2 linked regions of the Macaca mulatta genome follow. The protein of the gene in region 2 purifies or fractionates together with the protein of the main gene of each other region. This does not show direct contact. Links are inferred from orthologs where the notes say so. Each region holds a gene or a part of one and is shown on either strand. Other genes may lie near its edges. The genes, in order: CSTF2T and CSTF3.

Region 1 (10,782 bases), on a different chromosome or scaffold from region 2:
TGTTATTTGGTAAACATTTGGGTGCTTTTTGTGCAGTATTTAATAAGCACCAGGTTTTTGATTTTTAATGATGTTACCCCAAGTGTCACTTATTTTTTATTTTATTTTTTGAGACAGAGTCTCACTCTGTTTGCCCAGTCTGGAGTATAGTGGCACAATCTCGACTCACTCTAATCTCCACCTCCCAAGTTCAAATACTTCTCGTGCCTCAGATTCCCAAGTAGCTGGGATTACAGGGGCTTGCCAACATGCCTGGCTAAGTTTAGTATTTTTAGTAGAGATGGGGTATCACCACATTGGCCGGGCTGGTCTCGAACTCCTGACCTCAAGTGATCGGCCCCCCTCAGCCTCCCAAAGTGCTGGGATTACAGGTGTGTGCCACCACGCCCGACTCCCAAGTGTCACTTTTGACACAATTCTGCCCTCAAATTACATGTTATATATTGTTATAGAATAATATCAAGAACAAACATGCTAGTTAATATTTTATGAGCAAGGTAATTGGTAATATGAATATTTGTGAAGGTGAATTTTCAACCAAAGAAGTAAACTTTTGTTTCAGGGTGCATAAAGACAAATGAAAATATTTAAAGATCTGGGTCAGTTAACATTTGAAATAAATATGTATAAGCACATTATATAGTATGCCAATATCATGTAATATCCCTATTAATATTTAATATTAAATTTTATATTTAGGGATACTTACAATATATTAATAATGTCCTTAATATGAATCAGTTCTTAACCAGAGCATTCTTGATAAGAGACTGATGAAGAAAGCAAGCTTCAACCAGGAAAGTCCATCTAGAGATTAGCTGATATAAAATAATGAGAGACTGACATTCTTTTGTGAGAAGACTGTCAGATGTAACTGCTAATTCAGTTTCTCTGCCACAGTAGGTTGTTGCACATAATTATCCATAGACCTCATCAGACCTAAGAGAAAGGTCTGACACGCCATAGGAAATTATGTTCTGTGTGCTTAACCAATGTCCCATCACAGCATGGAAAAACAAGAAGCTTTGCAAGCTGTGATTATGTTAACGGTTTTCTTTTTAAAATGTCTTTCTACCATTAGAATTCTGAAAAGTGTAGTTGAAAAACCAGACATAATCTTACTTAGATTAGCCTACCTTTGTCTGGGATTCACATTAGCTTATATCTTATCAAATACTCCAAAATCCTAGGAAGTCAACAGATGTTAAAACATATTTTTGGTATTAATCATCAGTAATATGAGGGCAAGGGCTAATGGGCAGGCACTGATTAAAGTTGATCATTTCATAATCCCAAGAAACATGTACTCCCCAAGAGGATAAGCCTTAAAGAAGCATTAGCAAATCACTGTTTCACCCCATCATCTTCAACTATTATGATGAATGAATTGGTGATTTTATTTTAGTCTACACATCTTAGGGAAAATTCAGGATGTGAGGGGTTATAACCGATGATTTTGTAGTAAAACACATAAAAGATTCTGATTGTGGCAATATTGCTTGCATTATTCTTTACTATCAAATGAAATAAGGCTCTATGCTTTCTATATCAATATTGGAACATTCAATGAATCAGAAGTGAGGACAATCTATTTCCTTAGCTTTCACAGAGTAGAGGTGATTGTTTTTAATAACCTATTTCTAATTGTTTTTTAAAATGGAAATAGTTGTTATAGCTCATTTGTTCTGTGTTGAATCTAAACTCTTATGAGGGCAGTATATGTGCTTTTAATGGGATTTTCCCCCTAATAACTCTAATAGAATATTTTGTCCTTTTCCCATCTGTGAATATGGTAGTGAGATAGACTGTCCCTGTGTTCAGTTTGTGGGCGTGGAAGTGTATAGTAGCAGATAAAAGGTAAACAGTGCACTGCAATATAACTAAGGTTGTCAGTAATGAAGATAGCTACAAGGTGCTATTGGAATACAGAGGATTTCTCTCTGGGGAACATAAGCTTAATATCTATCACCAAGATGTTGCTCATACCAACCACAAAATGGCACGTCTTTATAGTTATTTCAACTGTCAAACTATATAGATAATGGTTCTAAGAGAGTTCCATCCATTACTGCAATTTCATTAGTTCTGCCTTTTGCATTAAAAACAAAAGATAATCAGGCCCCATGTATATCCACAATGGAAGACTTTTGCATAATGTATTCATTAAAAATAAACATATCAGATACTAACTCAGCCTTAATTGTATTTTTATTTTCTGCATTAAACAATGCAGGGATTTGACTAAAGACTGTAACATTTAATAATTTTCAGTTAGAGCCCTTCAGTGAAAGCTTTGAGATAAAGCAACTAGAATCTCAAAGTGATCGAGCCAACTCTGTGACTTAGTATTAACCATAACTATCGCACATGTAAAGGTGAGTTATCCTCTCCAATAGAGGGGAAGCATATAGGAAACATGGGAAAGTAGCAATATGAACAACAGACTAAAACAGGTAGTAGAAAACAACAGCATAGGGGTGAAAACCTTGTGAACAAAGAATACTAATTTAAAATGTAAACGTTTTGCAAAGGGAAGATAACTGAATTTCTACATTTTCAGCTCTTTGTATTAAACATTTTGTAATCTGTAACTAGATATTGGTTTTTCTTCTCCACAGAAGATCACCTGATATTTGATAACTTATGCTTTTATTAATTACTACTTGTTTTATAATACAAATGTTTGTGTTCACATCCTCAAGGCTTTATTTTCAAGGAAAAATAAAGTCGTAGTAGCGCAATGTAATAAGCCCCATCTTTCAACCAATTTTTAATTGTCTCATTGGTATGTATATTAGGACTAAATGGCTGTATTCCTTACAAAAAGTAAAATAAGCAATAAGTCAACTGAGTATTCAGGCTATATAAAAACTTCTACCTACTTGGGCCTTGATTATTCTGGTAACATGATTAATGATAGAAAAGTAGATTATGAAATAAGAAAACTAAAAGGCATGTTAAATGCTGTTTAGTCTAAAGGTTTTTAACTCCTGTCTGGTGGAGCAAATGGACACCATCTGTATATGAAAGCCAGATACCAAGAAACTGAGAGTTTACTTAGTGAAACCTACTACTTATGAAAAGTCAAATATCATGTATAACTCATCCAGATCAACTGGTCCCTAGACACTGATTTTTGGGAAGGATGTGAGAGAATTACTGACTCAGATTTAGGGCTTAAAGACTATTGAGAAATTGGAAGGTATTGAGAGATAGGGTTCATCAGAGTGGACTTAAGTAACCTGGTTGATTTTAGAATTGTCACAGCAAAATCAACATGCTCTGATGCTTGGGGCCTGGCAGAACCTTGCTGGTCTCTGAAGGCTGGGATAAATGAAGCGACAGTAAACCAGGTGTACTCCTTGATTTTTCAGGTAACACAACTTTAGAAAAAAACAATTCTAATACAAGTTTAACCTTATCCTGTTAACTCTAATATTTCAAAAATAATTCTAAAACACTAAGACAATGCTTATCCTATTGCCTCCAATAGGATTTTGTATTTTAAATGGTTTACCAAAAAATGTATCTTATACTTTTGGGTAAACTTTATTTTGTTATACAACCAAAAATCTTAAAACCATCTTAGTACATTAACGTTTTAACAGGTCAACTTTTAGTCTTTATGAGCAGTTTTCACAAAGTTTTACTCAACATTTAAAAAATGTAGTTAACATACTGTAGACACTTCAATATTGCTGCTTATTCTTTGTAATCTTATTTGGCATAATGTTGTCATGTTCAGAGTTATTTTACAGTAACTTAAAGTGAACAGACACACTCCCTCCTCCCCCCACCCTCAATTAAAAATAAAAAAGGAAAACAGAAAGAAAGAAAAAGAACAAAAAGTAAGATTAGGTTCTAGGAGGAGGGAAACCCTAATCCAAGTGTGGGGATGCAGAAGTCAGCTTTTTGCACCCATTCTCCATGCTACAGAATAAACTTTGAGACTACAGCCAAATATTTTCTAAAACCTTTCAAGAAGTTCCAGTGGATTTCTGGATTTGTTCCTTTAAAATCAGGATACTCTGCCTTTGCTCAGGGGGCAGCATGGCAATCTGATCTGCAGTTAGTTGAAGAACCTGCATGATCAAAGCCGCCTTTTCCTGATCCTGTGGAGTGACCTGGCTCTGCCCAGGACTAAAACTGCTAGGCTGGCTTCCACCTTGCTTGCTTGCCCCCTGTATGCCTCCTCCTTGTATACCCACTCCTTGTATGCCTGCCCCCTGCATCCCTCCTCCTTGTATGCCTGCCCCCTGCATGCCTGCTCCCTGCATGCCTGCTCCTTGTATGCCTGTACCCTGCATACCAGCTCCAGGATTCCCCACCCCTGAAATGCCGGGGACCTGTCTGGGTCCCTGAGGAGGGCCACCTGCCCCTATATTAATGGGACCAGGACCCTGAATTCCACCAGTCATAGGACCTCTTGTACTGGGGACAGGGCCCCTCATCTCCAATCCTCTTGCATCCATGCCTCTTGCTTCCATCCCTCTGGTTTCCATGGCACAGGTCTCCATTCCTCTCCTCTCCATTACACGTGTCTCTAAGACCTCAGTTTCCATGGCGCGAGTCTCCATCGCTCGAGAATCTCTACTACCTCTACCATCCATAGGTAGACCCCTTTGATCTATCATGGGGCCTCTGGGCTCTCCAATTAGCAGTCTGGGATCTCCTAATGGCCCTCCCCTCATCTCATGTGAGGAAGGGCCACGAGTGTCATGACCAGAGGCATGATGCATGGGGGGACCCTGATGGGGTGGACCCAGATAACCTCTGGGCTCCACTTCTCCAGTGACTGAAAGCAAAGTCCCTCCACGTGGGTCATTTGGAGCATCTCCTAACAGTCCTCGAGGAGGTAGACCACCAGGAGTCATGGGTCCACGAGGTATAGGAGCTCTAGGATCTGACATCTGCACTTGTCCCCGCTCTAAAGGCACTGGGCCAACCCCTGGCATTCCAAGTTGGGGCTGCATTGCTCCTCCAGGAGTTAAGGAACCAGGACCAGGTCCGGGAACTGCAGCTGGTATTGGCCCTGGAGCTGGAATTCCACCCTGGATAGGAGTCTGCATCAGAGGAGGAATGTCCTTCACAGGTCTTCTAGCCAAATGCTGAGGCTGAGGAGCTGGTGGATTCTGCTGGTTCAGCAGAACATTAGGTCCTGGGCAGAGCCCAGGGCCAGGGCCAGGACCAGGGCCAGGGCCAGGGCCAGAGACAGACACAGACTGAGATTTGCCTGGGATCAGTGGTGTGACATGTATCTTCCGATGAAGAATTTTCAGAGCAATCTCTGGATCCATGATTCTCATCACTACTTGCGCCTGCAACAGCGCATAAGCCAGTTGTGGATTTTGAAGTAACATGTTTCGAGCTTCCTGGTGGCTGTTTTGGACACAGAGCTTCATCTGCTTCATCAGCTCAAACATCTGCTCCGGGGGGAGACTGGCTACTGCTCTGGTAATCGATTCAGGGGCATCTTCTGGATCGATGGGATCCCCATAGGGTGAGTCAATAATGGGCGCTGCAGGCCCGAGGCTCTTTAACTCCTCCTTATTCTTTTCACTGGCAGCATTGTCCACCCGAAGCGCTCTGCCACTGAACTCCCGCCCATTGAGGTTCCGCATGGCACTAAGCGCGGTTTCCTGGTCTTGGTATTCGCAGAAGCCATAGCCCTTGGGTTTTCCCGTCTCTCTATCGTATACCAGCCGGAAACTGACAACAGAACCAACCTCCGAGAAAATGTCCTTTAACTGCTCCTCAGTTGCCTCATACGGAATGTTCCCCACGAACACGGAACGCAGTGATCGATCCATTGCCGGGTCTCTCACCGCCAAACTCGACATGATTCCGGTTGTGCACACTGCCGATAGCGGATTCTTCCAGGCGTCTGTCCTCTTGCGACCGACACTTCCGCTGAGCAACGGAAGCGGCTCTCAAGATCCGGGCAGAAACCTTACTAATTCGCTTGAATCGTTCTGCTTGCCTGTGGAACCTGCATCCCACTAACAAGTTATCTAATGCTTTAAGTCCCTGATCCTTCGTGGTTCTGTCAGCTTCTTATTACAGAGTCGCATGATTCCTTTCCCATTTCACCTTCCGCCGACTTTCTGTGGAGCCCCAACAGCCCCGCTACGACACCCTTGGTGCGAGATGACCACAGTAAAGATGGCCGCATAGACTTCACCATAGTAACTGGGAGGGGACTCCTCCCTTGACGTCAAAGGCGGTTTTGCTTCCGTTCCACCGGCGGGAAACCGCCAACCGAAAGCGGATTTAAGGCGGCATGTTTTTCGTTCTGACAAAGTATTTTCATGTGGCCTTTTATTATAGTATAGTTAAGCTAGATTTCAAATCACATTCCAGACTGAGGCAAAAGCGTAGTCGTTTCAAAGCACATTTGAGATTTGCCCCTTAAAGTAAAACAGTATTATATTTCCTTTTTAGAACAACGTTTTTGGAAATTAACTGACAAGAAATATAAACTGAAGCGTGTGCCTGCTGGACCCTGCCCCCGCTCTGTGGCTTCCTATAACCGCTGTTAATGGATGGGTGGCAGACCCTTCTAGGTTTTTTTGAGCACACGGGCAGCAGTCGTGCTATTCCTAATATTACGGTTTTCTTCCTTAATAATAACCGATTTCAGTATTAATTGGTGATTAAATAAATTAGTTATTAGCATTTTATGGCTTCAGAGTATGGAATAATGAAATTTACTTAACTATCCCTACATTGATTGGTTCTGATTTTTATTATATCATGCAGTGAATCCACCACTTCCATGAAGGGAAAAACAAATAGTGGTTGTCTTCTGCTGTTAGCTTTCCAGGCAGGAGTTAAAACATATTCACTGTGGGATTTCCTCGACTCCAATTCGAAGATAGAACTGAAACTTGGGGATGGCTAGGTAAATTCCCAAGGACAAGCAGCCGGAAAGAGGCAAAGTCAGGATTCTAACCCAGGTTGGTCTCGCATAGCTCCAGATCTACACTGCCTTACGCATATTGAATATTTGAAATGCAGCTAGTGTGATTGAGGAATTGAATTTTAAATTTCATTTTTTATTAATTTAAATATAAAAACTAATGTTCAGTAGGCTATTGGAAAACTTTTTTAGTATTTATGACAACTTGGGTATAAAATCTACTTTTGCAGTAATAAATTGTATTTTAAATAAAAATCATTTCACAGAACACTAAGATAAAACAAACAAACAAACAAAAAAAGAAATAAAAAGAAAGTACTTCCAGTCAAAATTTAACATTCCAGTTGAGGTATGCCATGCATGTAAGACACATGAAAGATTTTAATGATCAAATACCAAAAAATGTAAAAATAGCTCATCAATTTTATATTGTTTATAAGTTGAAATGTAATATTTTTGTATACTGGATTAAAAAATTATTTTGAAGTTAATGTTATTCATTTCACTTTTTAAAATGTGGCTATTAGAAAATTTAAAATTATATGTATATATTGCATTATACATCTGTGGACTGGACTGCTCCAAGTCTGTGCTTTAACTCCAAAACAGAGAATTATTTTATTCTGAAATATGCCTCTTAAGTGGATTATGAAACTTCTAAATTTCAGCCAAAAAATTGTATTATGTATCCGCAGAATCCTCGTCCAATGAATAGATTTGACATGAGTATGATGGTTTAGTTGCAAATAAGACATCCATTTACCTTCAAGTTTTTGAAACGGTTCTGTACTTAGCTGTTCACCCAAGACGCACGACAGTTTATATTTGCAAATGATAAGGTGCATTTACATCACCTAACAAGATTTCCCTGCTATATCAAAGAAACAGAATAGTCATCTGCTAGCAGTGTTTCCCCAGTGTGATTCATTTATTGGGGACAAAAGGGGAGGGGTTAAGGATAGTATCATTTCAAAAAACTAAAGACAAATTTATTTTTCTTCCTTCTACACCATCACTTTACAAAGAGAAGCCATACCTTTTTTATACATGTCCCGTCAAGGGTAACTTACAAGTTGAATATGTGTGTAATTGTGTGTGTATTAAATGTAGTAATCATGAAGATAGTAACGGGGTATTATAATACATTGCAAAATTCATAGAAGATCGCACAGCTTGACAGAGTTTCTTTACTGCTGATACTATCTAAACCAGTGGTCCTCACATGCATCAGAATCACCTTGAGCCACGGCTTGTTAAGTCAGATTCTGCTTTAGCAGGTCTGGAGAATTTGCATTTCTAATAAGCTCTCAGGTGACGCTGATGCTGCTGGTTTGGAGATCTTTAAGAATCATTGGTCCTAGGGATTGTTAGTAGATTTTCTCATTTATATCAGACCGAACTAAATTTAGTATACTCTATTAAAAGGTTTTAGGTAAAGGTTTTAAAAACATTATTAATTTACTATTAATATACTATTCTAGTACATGCTGATCTGCTACTGAAGATACACTGGACATGAAGACTGGGTGAACAGAGAGTAGTTGAAGGACTATGGGGAAAAACAAGAAGGGGGAAGTTATGACTATAGAGTGTGCCTTAGTCACAGGCTTTCCATGTTCTCTTTAGTCCCACTATTGCAAACTAGTAGAATGATTTGTCATGCCCCCCTTCATACAGGACCAGTGTGACCCACCATGTAATTCCATGCCCAGAACACACAAACTAATACTTATTGTTAACTGAATGGCCCCACATCAAGAGCTCAGAGAAACCTATGTATATTTCCTGGTACCAGTACATATTTTTTTTAATAGATCTAACTTGGAAGAACATCCATTTTTATACTGCTTTTTTATTCCCATAAAGTTTAAATTTTAGATATTTATAGCATGGCATACACTCTGAAGAAAAGTGTACGTGGTATAGTGTATGTTCAGATGTTGATTCTTTCAATAGATTGATACCAAATATGTTAAGACTGATTTCAAACACACAAGAGAATGTATGGCCAAATGGAAGCTGTCCTCTAATCACTTTCAGAAACTATAAACTTAATCCATTGCTCAAAATGATTTTTTTTTTTTTTTTTTTTTTTTTTTTTGACACAGGATTTCACTCCCGTCAGCCAGGCTGGAGTGCAATGGTGTGATCTTGGCTTACTGCAGCCTCTGCCTCCTGGTCTCAAGCCTCTGCCTCCTGGGCTCCTGCTTTAGCCTCCCGAGTAAAGACTACAGGCATATGCCACCGCTCATGGCTAGTTTTTTGTGTATTTTGTAGAGACGGGGTTTCATCATGTTGGCCAGGCTGGTCTCGAACTCCTGAACTCAAGCGATCTACTTGCCTCAGCCTCCCAGAGATTGGGCATTATAGGCATAAGACATTGTACCTGGCCTCAGACTGATTTTTGAACTTCTACCCTGAAATTGCTTTGGGCCTCATTTGTAAGTCATACTAGAAAATCAGTACACTAACTGAACAGTGTACTTTATTTTTAACAAAGAACAGGATTATGCAACAAAATCACCCAACTTCCTGACCAGATTTGGAAAAAATGTCATGCTTAGCTAATTCTAAATATCAAACCTTACATCAGAATATAAAAATTCTATAATCTTTGAGGGAATTTAAGAAAAAGATTCACCATAGAGTATAGGGAAAAAAGAAAAGATTCACTATAGATTAAGTAGACAAATTGCAAAGACAAGAACTAAAAATATTTTGAGTAATGACAGGCATTTTTGAAATAAGTGTATGGGTCCTTCAAGGAATAGCACAAATAAACTGCTCCACAAAGCTTTCTATGACCTTTCTACCCTTTCCTCTAGGTTAGAAGTAATTTTGTTTTTCTTTGGATATAAACTATTCCTTATAACTTGTACCTTCCTGATTATAGTAACTCCTTTACCTTTCAGTAAAATTGCAATTTTTCTTCTAAACTATAAAATAATTGTATATCCCCCTTTATCAGTTAACTAAGTGCTTCAAATGTATTATTTAATTCCATCAATATTTATTCCAAACACTGACAATACAGCAGTGAAAACAATAGACAGTCTACCAGAACAGAAGGTCTCTAAATGTGGTCCTTGGTTCAGTGGCATCAGCATCACCTGGAAATATCTTAGAAAATAAAAGTTTGGGGCCCTACTCCAAATCTGTTGCATCAGAAATGGAGAAATCTTTGAACAAGTTTTCCAGGTAGTTCTAATTCAAGCTCAATTTTGAGAACCACCACATTATAAGAATGCAATCATAGTTGGCAGGCACAGTGACTCACGCCTGTAATCCTGGCACTTTGGAAGGCGGCAGCGGGTGGATCATTCGATCAGGAGTTCAAGACCAGCCTGGCCAACATGGTGAAACCCCATGTCTACTAAAAATGCAAAAATTAACCAGATGTGGTAGTGCGTGCTTCTAATCCCAGCTATTTTGGAGGCCGAGGTGGGAGGATCGCTGGAATGTGGGATGTGGATGTTGCAGTGAACTGAGATCACACCACTGCATTCCAGCCTGGGCAACAGAGTAAAATTTCCATATCTAAAAGAAAAAGAGAAGACAAAACCAGAATGCAATTATAGTATAGATAGCTGATAGATAAACAGATAAATATTTTGTTTTCACCTCTATATCCTCAACACCTGGGATAGAGCTCAGCACAGGTGGATGTTCATTATATATTTGTTGAATGCATGATAGGAAATGACTTTAAAGTTTATTAATTCACAAATATTTCATTTTACCAAGGACAGAACCTGTGGCATTGAATAACGTGCCTCAAATCAAAGAGAAGACATGCTGCCAGGACCCTTGTCATTTTATTCCTAGGTCAGTGATAGTTCTTCCAGGTTGCCATTTGATAAGAT
Region 2 (9,534 bases):
AGAAAAATGAAGAAGGGCTGCACATGGTGGCTAATCCCAGCACTTTGGGAGGCTGTCGTGGGAGGACTGCTTGAGCCCAGGAGTTCAAGACCAGCCTGGACAATACAGGGAGATCCTGTTTCTACATAAAATTTTAAAAAGTAACTGGGCATGGTGGATGGTGGTTTATGCCTGTGGTCCCAGCTACTTGGGAGGCTGAGGTGGGAGGATTATGCTATGATCATGTCTCAAAACAAAAAGACTTCTGAAAATTTGTATTTTCTTTTGTTTTGATTGTTTTTGAGATGGAGTCTCATTCTGTTGTCCGGGCTGGAGTGCAGTGGGACAATCTTGGCTCCCAAGCTCAAGTAATTCTCCTGCCTCAGCCTCCCTGAGTGGCTGGGATTGCAGGTGTGTGCCACCACGCCCAGCTAATTTTTATATTTTTAGTAGAGAGAGGATTTCACCATGCTGCCCAGGCTGGTCTTGAACTCCTGACCTTAGGCGATCTGCTCGCCTTCCGTGCCTGGCTGAAATTTTTATTAAGTAAAACATAAGTTCTCTTGCTCATTGTTATAGTCAAAGAACTACTATGTTAAAAAAAAAAAAAAGCAGAATTTATGAACATGATGACTATGGTTTAATAAAATTGAACTCAACATTTATTTATTAACTATAGGCCAATACTGGGTTATAATATCAAATAAATTCATAATTATTGACCAAGGTCAATATACTAACAAAAATGGTGTTTTTTTCATTCTTTTTCATTGGTACAATTTGATTGTTCAGAAAGTTTACTAGTAGTTTCTATTAACCTTTTACTGTGGCCACATAGGTGCAACCTCTTGTTTGAAGTTTAGTGGTAAAGGCCAGAGTTGACTAATTTTTGTTTAGGAAGGACATACATACAGTCCTTGAAACTTTTGTCTAGTTCTAGAATCTTGAGGAGATGCTGTCATTGCTTTTATAAACAGGAAAAAGATGGATATCTTTTGGCAAATTCTTTGGGTCCAGCAATACTGATATGAGTCCTTGGAACTGTAGGACTGACTATCCCATGAGTCTGCACATTAGATTTCCAAAGGTAAGTTCACATGTCTAACATGCTGCTTGTTGAACTGTTTAACAAAAGGAATGATCAAATATCAGGCAGAATCACCTTAAAAACTAAAAATTCATACATATCTGTAGCAGTTAGAGCATTCAAAAATGTTTTCTTCTAATGAGAATCCTTTTTATGCTCAAAGAGCTGATCATTTCTAGGGTAAAAAATCTTATAAATAAATGCAATAGGAACAGTTATAATATACATAGTAGCCTTAACAATAATTGGTACAGTTTGAATCTGTGTCCCCACCAAATCTCATGTCAAATTGTAATCCCCAGTGTTGGTGGTGGGGCTTGGTGGAAGGTGATTGGTCGGGGGAGGGGGGCGAAGTTCCCATGAATGGGTTAGCACCATCCCCTCGGTGCTGTTCTTCTGATAGTGAGTTCTCGTGAAATCTGGTTGTTTAAAAGTGTGTGGCACCTCCCTCCTTTCTTCATCCTGCTCTGGCCATATAAAACGTCCCTCTTCTCCTTCATCTTCTGCCATGATTATACATTTTCTGAGGCTTCCCCAGAAGCAAATGCCACTATTCTATCTGTACAGCCTACAGAACCATGAGCCAGTTAAGCCTCTTTTCTTTAAAAATTACCCAGTCACAGGTATTTCTTTTTTTTTTTTTTTTTTTTTTTTTTTGAGAGGGAGTCTCGCTCTGTCACCCAGGCTGGGATGCAGTGGCCGGATCTCAGCTCACTGCAAGCTCCGCCTCCCGGGTTTACGCCATTCTCCTGCCTCAGCCTCCCGAGTAGCTGGGACTACAGGCGCCCGCCACCTCGCCCGGCTAGTTATTTTTTGTATTTTTTAGTTGAGATGGGGTTTCACCTTGTTAGCCAGGATGGTCTCGATCTCCTGACCTCGTGATCCGCCCGTCTCGGCCTCCCAAAGTGCTGGGATTACAGGCTTGAGCCACCGCGCCCGGCCCACAGGTATTTCTTTATAGCATTGTCGGAATGGACTGATAGGTGATTAAAGACAATTTTCACCAAGTGTGTGTGTGTGCGCGCACGCACGCGCTAAAAAACGTTTTTTCATGCATGTTTGCGTGGCTTTGTTTTATTGTTTATGGGAACACTTTTGCAGATCACTTACTTACAAGTATTTGAAACTGTTTTGTCTTTTTTTTTTTTTTTTTTTTGAGACGGAGTTTGAGTTTCGCTCTTGATGCCCAGGCTAGAGTGCAATGGTATGATCTTGGCTCACTACAACATCTGCTTCCCAGGTTCAAGCAATTCTCCTGCCTCAGTCTCCCAAGTAGCTGGGATTGTAGGCATGTGCCACCATGCCCAGCTAATTTTGTATTTTTAGTAGAGACGGGGTTTCACCATGTTGGTCAGGCTGGTCTCGAACGCCTGACCTCAGGTGATCCGCCTACCTCAGCCTCCCAAAGAGCTGTGATTATAGGCGTGAGCCACCTCGCCCGGCCTGTTTGTCTTCTTCAAAACACTAACTGTGGAGTCCTAATTAGGGAAAGGGAGTCAGGCTGCTAGGAACAGGGAGAAGCAGATAAATTATGAGTCTGCCTTTCTTCATGGTCCAGGACATGTAGCCGTACTGCACCCAGCTTATCACCAGACACCTTCAAGTTAGCTCACTGCAACCTTGGCATTCTCAGTAGTACATAAAACCCTCTTCAGCACATAGCACCATCCTATAAAATCCCCAGCAAGCCTTTGTCTCTTTGCAGACAAGCCCCATCTCTGCCTGTTCCAGCCTTGCAGTGCATCTTCATACCTTCTCTAATCTACCTTTCTCTACCTACAATCGTCTTGGTAAGTTTCTTCTTACCCCCACACCATCAGCCCCAGATAGTCGCTGCTCACCCATGACACTAACCACCAAAAATGGCACTTCAGGAACAAGTCTACACCTCTATATTTTATTTTTGAAACAGGGTCTCACTCTGTCGCCCAGGCTGGAGTACAGTAGTGCGATCATGGTTCACTGCAGCCTTGGCCTCCTGGGCTCAGGTGATCCTCCCACCACAGCCTCCAGAGTAGCTGGGGCTACAGGCTTGTGCTACCATGTCCAGCTAACTTTTTTTTTTTTTTTTGGTATTTTTAGTAGAGACGGGGTTTCACTATGTTGGCCAGCTGGCCTCGAACTCCTGGCCTCAAGTAATCTTCAGCCTCCCAAAATGCTGGGATTACAGGCACAAGCCACTGTGCCCAGCCTACACCTCTATATTTTAAAGTCTATGCCATATGGTACTACTTGTGTCTTTTTTTTTTTTTTTTTTTTTTTTTGAGAGTCCCGCTCTGTCACCCAGGCTGGAGTGCAGTGGTGCTCTCTCGGCTCACTGCAACCTCTGCCTCACAGGTTCAAGCAATTCTTACGCCTTCGCCTCCCAAGTAGCTGGATTTACAGGCTTGTGCTACCATGCCCAGCTAATTTTTGTTGGTATTTTTAGTAGAGACAGGGTTTCACTATGTTGGCCAGGCTGATCTTGAACTCCTGGCCTCAAATAATCTGCCCGCCTCGGCCTTCCAAAGTGCTGGGATTTACAGGCGTGAGCCACCGCACCTGGCCTACTTGTGTCTTAAGTTTTGATGGTAACTGTGATATTTTTTAAAAACTCACAACTTGAAAGTGATACTTGAAAGGGTAAGAAAGTCTGAATTAGAGGCAGCTGACTTTGTTTTGAGAGGCGATTTTAGCTTTAATGGGAAAATACTGGAAACTAAACACACTTTTGACCAATTTATATAACCTTGCTACATATAAATTTATATGAGAAAATGATTCAGGAAAACTTTTCTTTTACAAGTAAGGCTTTTGTGGGCCATCTGAAGCTGATTTTAAATGTCAGATTATTTAATCACATCTGAATTCAAATTCTAAACTGTCTAAATTGTTTCTAATATGTAAGATCATTTCTTTATAACCATAATACTTGTCCTCCCCTCCTTTTTGTTTCCTTCCTGCTTTTTAGTTTTTAACACGTAAAGAGAAGAGGAGGTAATGTTACCAAAGAGCACAGTCTATTTCTTTGGACTTAATTTGCATGACAAGTTTTTGCTCACTGTAATTAGAATTTAGTTAAATAGATGTCATTTTCCTTAATGTTATCTATGTTTAGCTCATGGGAAAAAAAAGGTTCTTGAGAACTGGCCACGTGTGAAAATATTCAAGTTCAGTATCCCTAATCTGAAATCCAAAGTGTTCCAAAATCCAAAACCTTTTGGGTGTCAACATGATGCACAAAGAAAATGCTTAGTGGAGTTTTTTGGAATTTGGACTTTTGGATTAGGGATGGTGAACTGGTAAGTATGATGCAAATATTCTGAAATCTAAACAAATCCAAAATCCTGAACACTTCTGGTCCCAAGTATATTCAGATAAGGGACACTCTGTGTGAGAACAAGACAGCAGGTGGTTAAAGGAATTTCCACACTTAGGTTGCTTTCAAGAGAGACAAAAGTATTAACAGGATCTTAATCTGCCTCAGATTTACTGGGGAGCAAATGCATTCATATTTGAGGATTTCTAAAATGGTAGAGGCTGAGGTGGATCACGAGGTCAGGAGATCGAGACCATCCTGGCTAACAAGGTGAAACCCCGTCTCTACTAAAAAAATACAAAAAAACTAGCCAGGCAAGGTGGCGGGCGCCGGTAGTCCCAGCTACTCGGGAGGCTGAGGCAGGAGAATGGCGTAAACCTGGGAGGCGGAGCTTGCAGTGAGCTGAGAACCGGCCATTGCACTCCAGCCTGGGCAACAGAGCAAGACTCCATCTCAAAAAAACAAAAAAAAATGTTTTTAGTTAGCACCAAAAAAGACCAGGAAAGAGTATGTGATTAATACATTTAGTAAATACAAGATGACTTTTCCTTGTACTGACATTTATTTTTAAATGGTATTGGATAAATAACATAAAAAAAGTAGTTATTGTAAATAAAATCTGAAAGGAGCAGAGGAAGCATGATGTTTCTGAATCCTTTTATTTTTCAAAGGACTTTTAAAATTTCAAACTACAAAACGGATTTCATACATTCTGCCATAAATAAAAACAAACAATAAGGCAGGACTCTACATAAGCAAACCAAGAACAATTGTTTTCAGAAAATGTGATAAAATGCTTTACAATCATAAGCCATCCAGTTTTTAAAATAAAACTGTTGAAAAACTCACAAATCTTCAAGCGGCACATACAAGACACCCTTGAAGAGGGAACAAAATGTGGTTCTGCCATTTTGTATTGTTCTCACATTTTTGAAAACCTAATTTTGCTTAGAGCATAGGTCTGTTCCATATTCTAAAATTCACACAGGTTGGTTTGTTTTTTCTCAAGAACCATATGATAGAGGCACCAATGACAATACAACTTTGTTTCCAAGAACCTTGTAACAAAGCGTTGTCTCTTTTAAACATACGACTTGAGGCAAAAGGAATCCTGGACAGGAGTTTTCTGCAGAGGCGTTTAAGCCCTACCGAATCCGCTTCTGCTGCCGTGCTCTGTAAATGTCATGAACAGGGGGGACAACGGCTCCCTTTTCTTCATCTTCATCTGAATCCTCGTTGGGCCTTTTGACGGCCTTGGTGAGTACTGCATTACTTTCCACAGGGCCGTTGCCTTCTACAGCTAGCTCTGGGGCCCCACCAGTAATGATCCTCACAGCTTCCTCAACAGCTGTTAAAACAACAAAACGTAAAAACATATTCCACTATGAAAGGGTATGTATGTTCAACTGTGGACACTTTATAGTTCATTTCATAGCCTACTAATTTAGCAAAACATGGGATAGTACTACTGATACTAAATAATGAAAGAAAAAGACAAAAGCTGCTGTTAAAACTAATAATTTTAATAAGCCAAAGTACATGTTCACATGAATAGAAAAGATAAACTTTTATGACATTTTACTTAGTGGAATTCAGTATGAATAAGCCTCTCTCTGCCAAAGAGGGTTTGGGTAACTCCTGGGTTTCACTGTACTTCAAATTGGCTGGCTGGTTTCAAAAACTTCAGTGGCAGAGAATAATAATCTCTACGGCTTATGAGACAACAATGTGGAATGACACTCTGAAATGGATTTTCTGTTACTTACTATTTGGTATCTTGCATCTTCGGAAAATTTCCATCAGTTCATCCACTTGTACGAAAGGACCCTATTTTGACATGAATAAATTTTAATCCCAGTAATCTGACAAGTTAAAATAGCAGTAACTTTATACACAATTACTGTAACCCACAGAGCCAGTATCTACCGTGAAAATAAGTGAACAAACCTGGAAACAGATAGGAGGAGGGAGAAGTTTCATTAAAACAACAGCTGCAGGAGGGACTGGGAACACTCCACCAGGTACAGGGTGTAAGCCTGGAGCTGTGAGAAAAAGAAAAGTATGAATCAAGTGGGATGGAAGAATTTCTACACAGAGCTAAAATCAAGTGACTTGCACATAAAGATCTTCCATGTCTATGCTGCTTTGTTCTGGACACTGAAAATACTTTTAGGGCTTTACCAAACCAAAGTGGGTGAGACAGAGCAGTCTCAATGCCATGGCCACTGCGAGGCAGAGAAGTAGACAAGTGACTTTGTATAAGACAATTGGGGACTGAACTAAAGTCAGTTTTTGTCAAAGACTGTTTCTGAGTTACACAAGTCATTTGTTTAGCAATCCTTTTTCAAGTCAATTATTCAACAGCATATTTAATCAGAAGGGCTTTGTTCAAAAAGAATCTAGAGAGGCTACTAACCATTAGTAAGTAAAGAAACCAACATTGTATCAGTGAAGAAAGTTTCCAGCTGTTCAGGTAAAAAGCTGTTTAGCTTTTTTTTTTTTTTGATACAGAGTTTCGCTCTTGTTACCCAGGCTGGAGTGCAATAGCAAGATCTGGGCTCACTGCAACCTCCGCCTCCTGGGTTCAAGTGATTCTCCTGCCTCAGCCTCCCAAGTAGCTGGGATTACATGCGTGTGCCACCATGCCCAGAAAATTTTTGTATTTTTAGTAAAGACAGGGTTTCACCATGTTGGTCAGGCTGGTCTTGAACTCCTGACCTCAGCTGATCCACCTGCCTTGGCCTCCCAAAGTGCTGGGATTACAGGCGTGAACCACTGCACCTGGGCATAGCAGCATTTCTGAAAACCAAGTATTACTGCCAAAATGGGTTCCTGGAATCTGGATCATTGAAGTTTTGTTTTTAGGACATTCTTAGTTAATCTGTTTCAAAGATTAAAGCTAAATCACTTGTCATAGTGACCCTAAGTCTAATAATTAACCCACAATTGAGAGGCCATGTCACTTTACCCCCACACTTTGGATTTAAATCAACAAACAAACCGAGGTCTCAGTACTGGATCTAAAGTCATGGCTTACGTGCTAAATGTCGTGGCTGAAATGGAATCATCTGCTGAGTGTCTGGTTTAGGGTATTCTGGTTTTCTATCCACTTCATCTTTCAGAACAGGCACTATAGAAGGAGCTACAACTGGGTCTGGAATTATAGCTGCTAGCTTAGCACGGGAGACATCCTGAAAATGCAGAACAGAAGAATCCTAAACCTGAAAAAGGGACTACTAGAGAATAATCGTGCAATTCATAACCTTGAGGATACAGTGTGAATATCTGGGTTAAAACCACAGGAAGAAAATGGAGACGGATAAGCAAGGACTCTAATGATGGTAAAGATTGTTACTCAACAAGGAAAGCCATTTGGTTCTAAGACTCTGTATTATAACTTTACCCCAACACAAGTTAAAAGTCATTAAACTCAGTGTTGCCAGGTAGGACATTTGTAGGACAGATACAAGTTTTTTTGGGTAGTCATAAGACTGGGAACTAAGTAGAGGTCAGGATAATTTGGAGGAAAATTCAAGATTTTAGATCTTCTGACACCTCCCTTCCATTAGAATTGAACATCAGTTTCATTAAACGAAGCTGGATTAAGTGACGTCCTGTTTTGTGAAGGCATCACACGGGTTAAGATTTTGCTAATGCAATGAAAAGTTATTTCCAATGTGCTATTTATTACAGGGGACAAGGAATATTTATTGAGCAGACACTATTCATCAGGCAATTTTAGCCATTTATTCTCTCTTTAATGAAGCAAATAGTAACATCTCCATTTTATAGAAGGGACTGAAGCTCACAAAGGTTTTGATATTTCCCAGGTCACACAGATAGTAAGTAGAGAGAGGAGGATTGGGAGGGCAGGCCTCTCTGACCTCAAATCCATCCACAGTCTTCCTTTCAGTACACTAGCATTGCCCTGCCAGGGCTAAGACAAGATATGCCAAAGGGAGCAATACAGTCACCTATGAACAGAGGCCCTATCTCAGAGGAGCTCCCCTGCTCCAGGCAACCCAGTGTCACTCTGTCTGTCTAGAAACAAAATAACCCCTTTTTGCCACCAACGAAGGATAGAAAAGCATTCCACTTTCTCAAAATTTGTTGAAATGCAGTTGGTGACATCTGGTATTAATTATATAAGCAAATCTAAATGGTAGGCACATTGGGTATCACTTTTAAAAAATCTTTCTCACACAGATACATATACACCATACCACTCACCATAACACACAGAAGCACATTAATCCTTCCCCAAAAAACAAGAGTAGAAACAAATGTAAGATGGAAAACATCATATTCAGGAAGTAGTTCTACTCCTGAATACTTGCTATTTTCTTTTTTTTTTTTTTGAAACAGAGTCTCACTCTGTCACCCAGGCTGGAGTACAGTGGCACTATCTCAGCTCACTACAACCTCCCAGGTTCAAGCAATTCTCCTGCCTCAGCCTCCTGAGTAGCTAGGATTACAGATGCCCGCCACCAAGCCCAGCTAATTTTTGTATTTTAGTAGAGACGGGGTTTCACCATGTTGGCTAGGCTGGTCTCAAACTCCTGACCTCCGATGATCCAGCCGCCTCGGCCTCCCAAAGTGCTGGGATTACAGGTGTGAGTCACCACATCTGGCCACTATAAGATCTTTCTTTTCTGTTTATTTGTATTTTTTAATTTTTTTTTTTTTTTTTTAAAGACAAGATCTCACTCTGTCACCCAGTCAGGAGTGCAGTGGCTTGATCACGGCTCACTAAAGTAGCCTCAGCTTCCCTCTTGGGCTCATCTTGGCCTCCCGAATAGCTGGGACCATTGGCAGGTGCCACCACACCTGGCTAATTGTTGTATTTTTCCCTCTTTTTTTGGTAGAGATGGGATTTCATCATGTTTCCCAGGCTGGTCTTGAACTACTGGGCTCAAGTGATCCACCCGTCTCAGCCTCCCAAAGTGCTGGGATTATAGGCATGAGTCACCATGCCTGGCAGATCTTTATTTTAATTAACTGCCTTAATTTTCATTTTCATCTTGGAAAAGTTGAAATAGCCTTTTCTAGCAATGGCACAAAGTACAGTAAGTCCCTCACTTAACATTGTTAATAGGTTCTAGGAAACTGCAACTTTTAGAGAAATGATGGGCTAGGCGTGATGGCTGCCGCCTGTAATCCCAGCACTTTG

What was found.
Region 1: the proteins of CSTF3 (region 2) and CSTF2T purify together in Homo sapiens (co-immunoprecipitation; 4 studies listed by BioGRID and IntAct, counting the BioPlex papers as one, with this or other methods). This does not show direct contact. The link is inferred for Macaca mulatta from reciprocal best matches to the Homo sapiens genes CSTF3 and CSTF2T.

Annotation. Positions count from the first base shown.
Region 1 is NC_133414.1:98,060,038-98,070,819, reverse strand, and holds CSTF2T (cleavage stimulation factor subunit 2 tau variant), read right to left. Parts: upstream 5,893-10,782; 5' UTR 5,841-5,892; coding exon 3,978-5,840; 3' UTR 3,865-3,977; downstream 1-3,864. UniProt on the Homo sapiens protein: May play a significant role in AAUAAA-independent mRNA polyadenylation in germ cells. Directly involved in the binding to pre-mRNAs.
Region 2 is NC_133419.1:32,190,850-32,200,383, reverse strand, and holds the end of CSTF3 (cleavage stimulation factor subunit 3), read right to left. Parts: intron 7,556-9,534; coding exon 7,402-7,555; intron 6,407-7,401; coding exon 6,312-6,406; intron 6,192-6,311; coding exon 6,131-6,191; intron 5,713-6,130; coding exon 5,510-5,712; 3' UTR 5,008-5,509; downstream 1-5,007. UniProt on the Homo sapiens protein: One of the multiple factors required for polyadenylation and 3'-end cleavage of mammalian pre-mRNAs.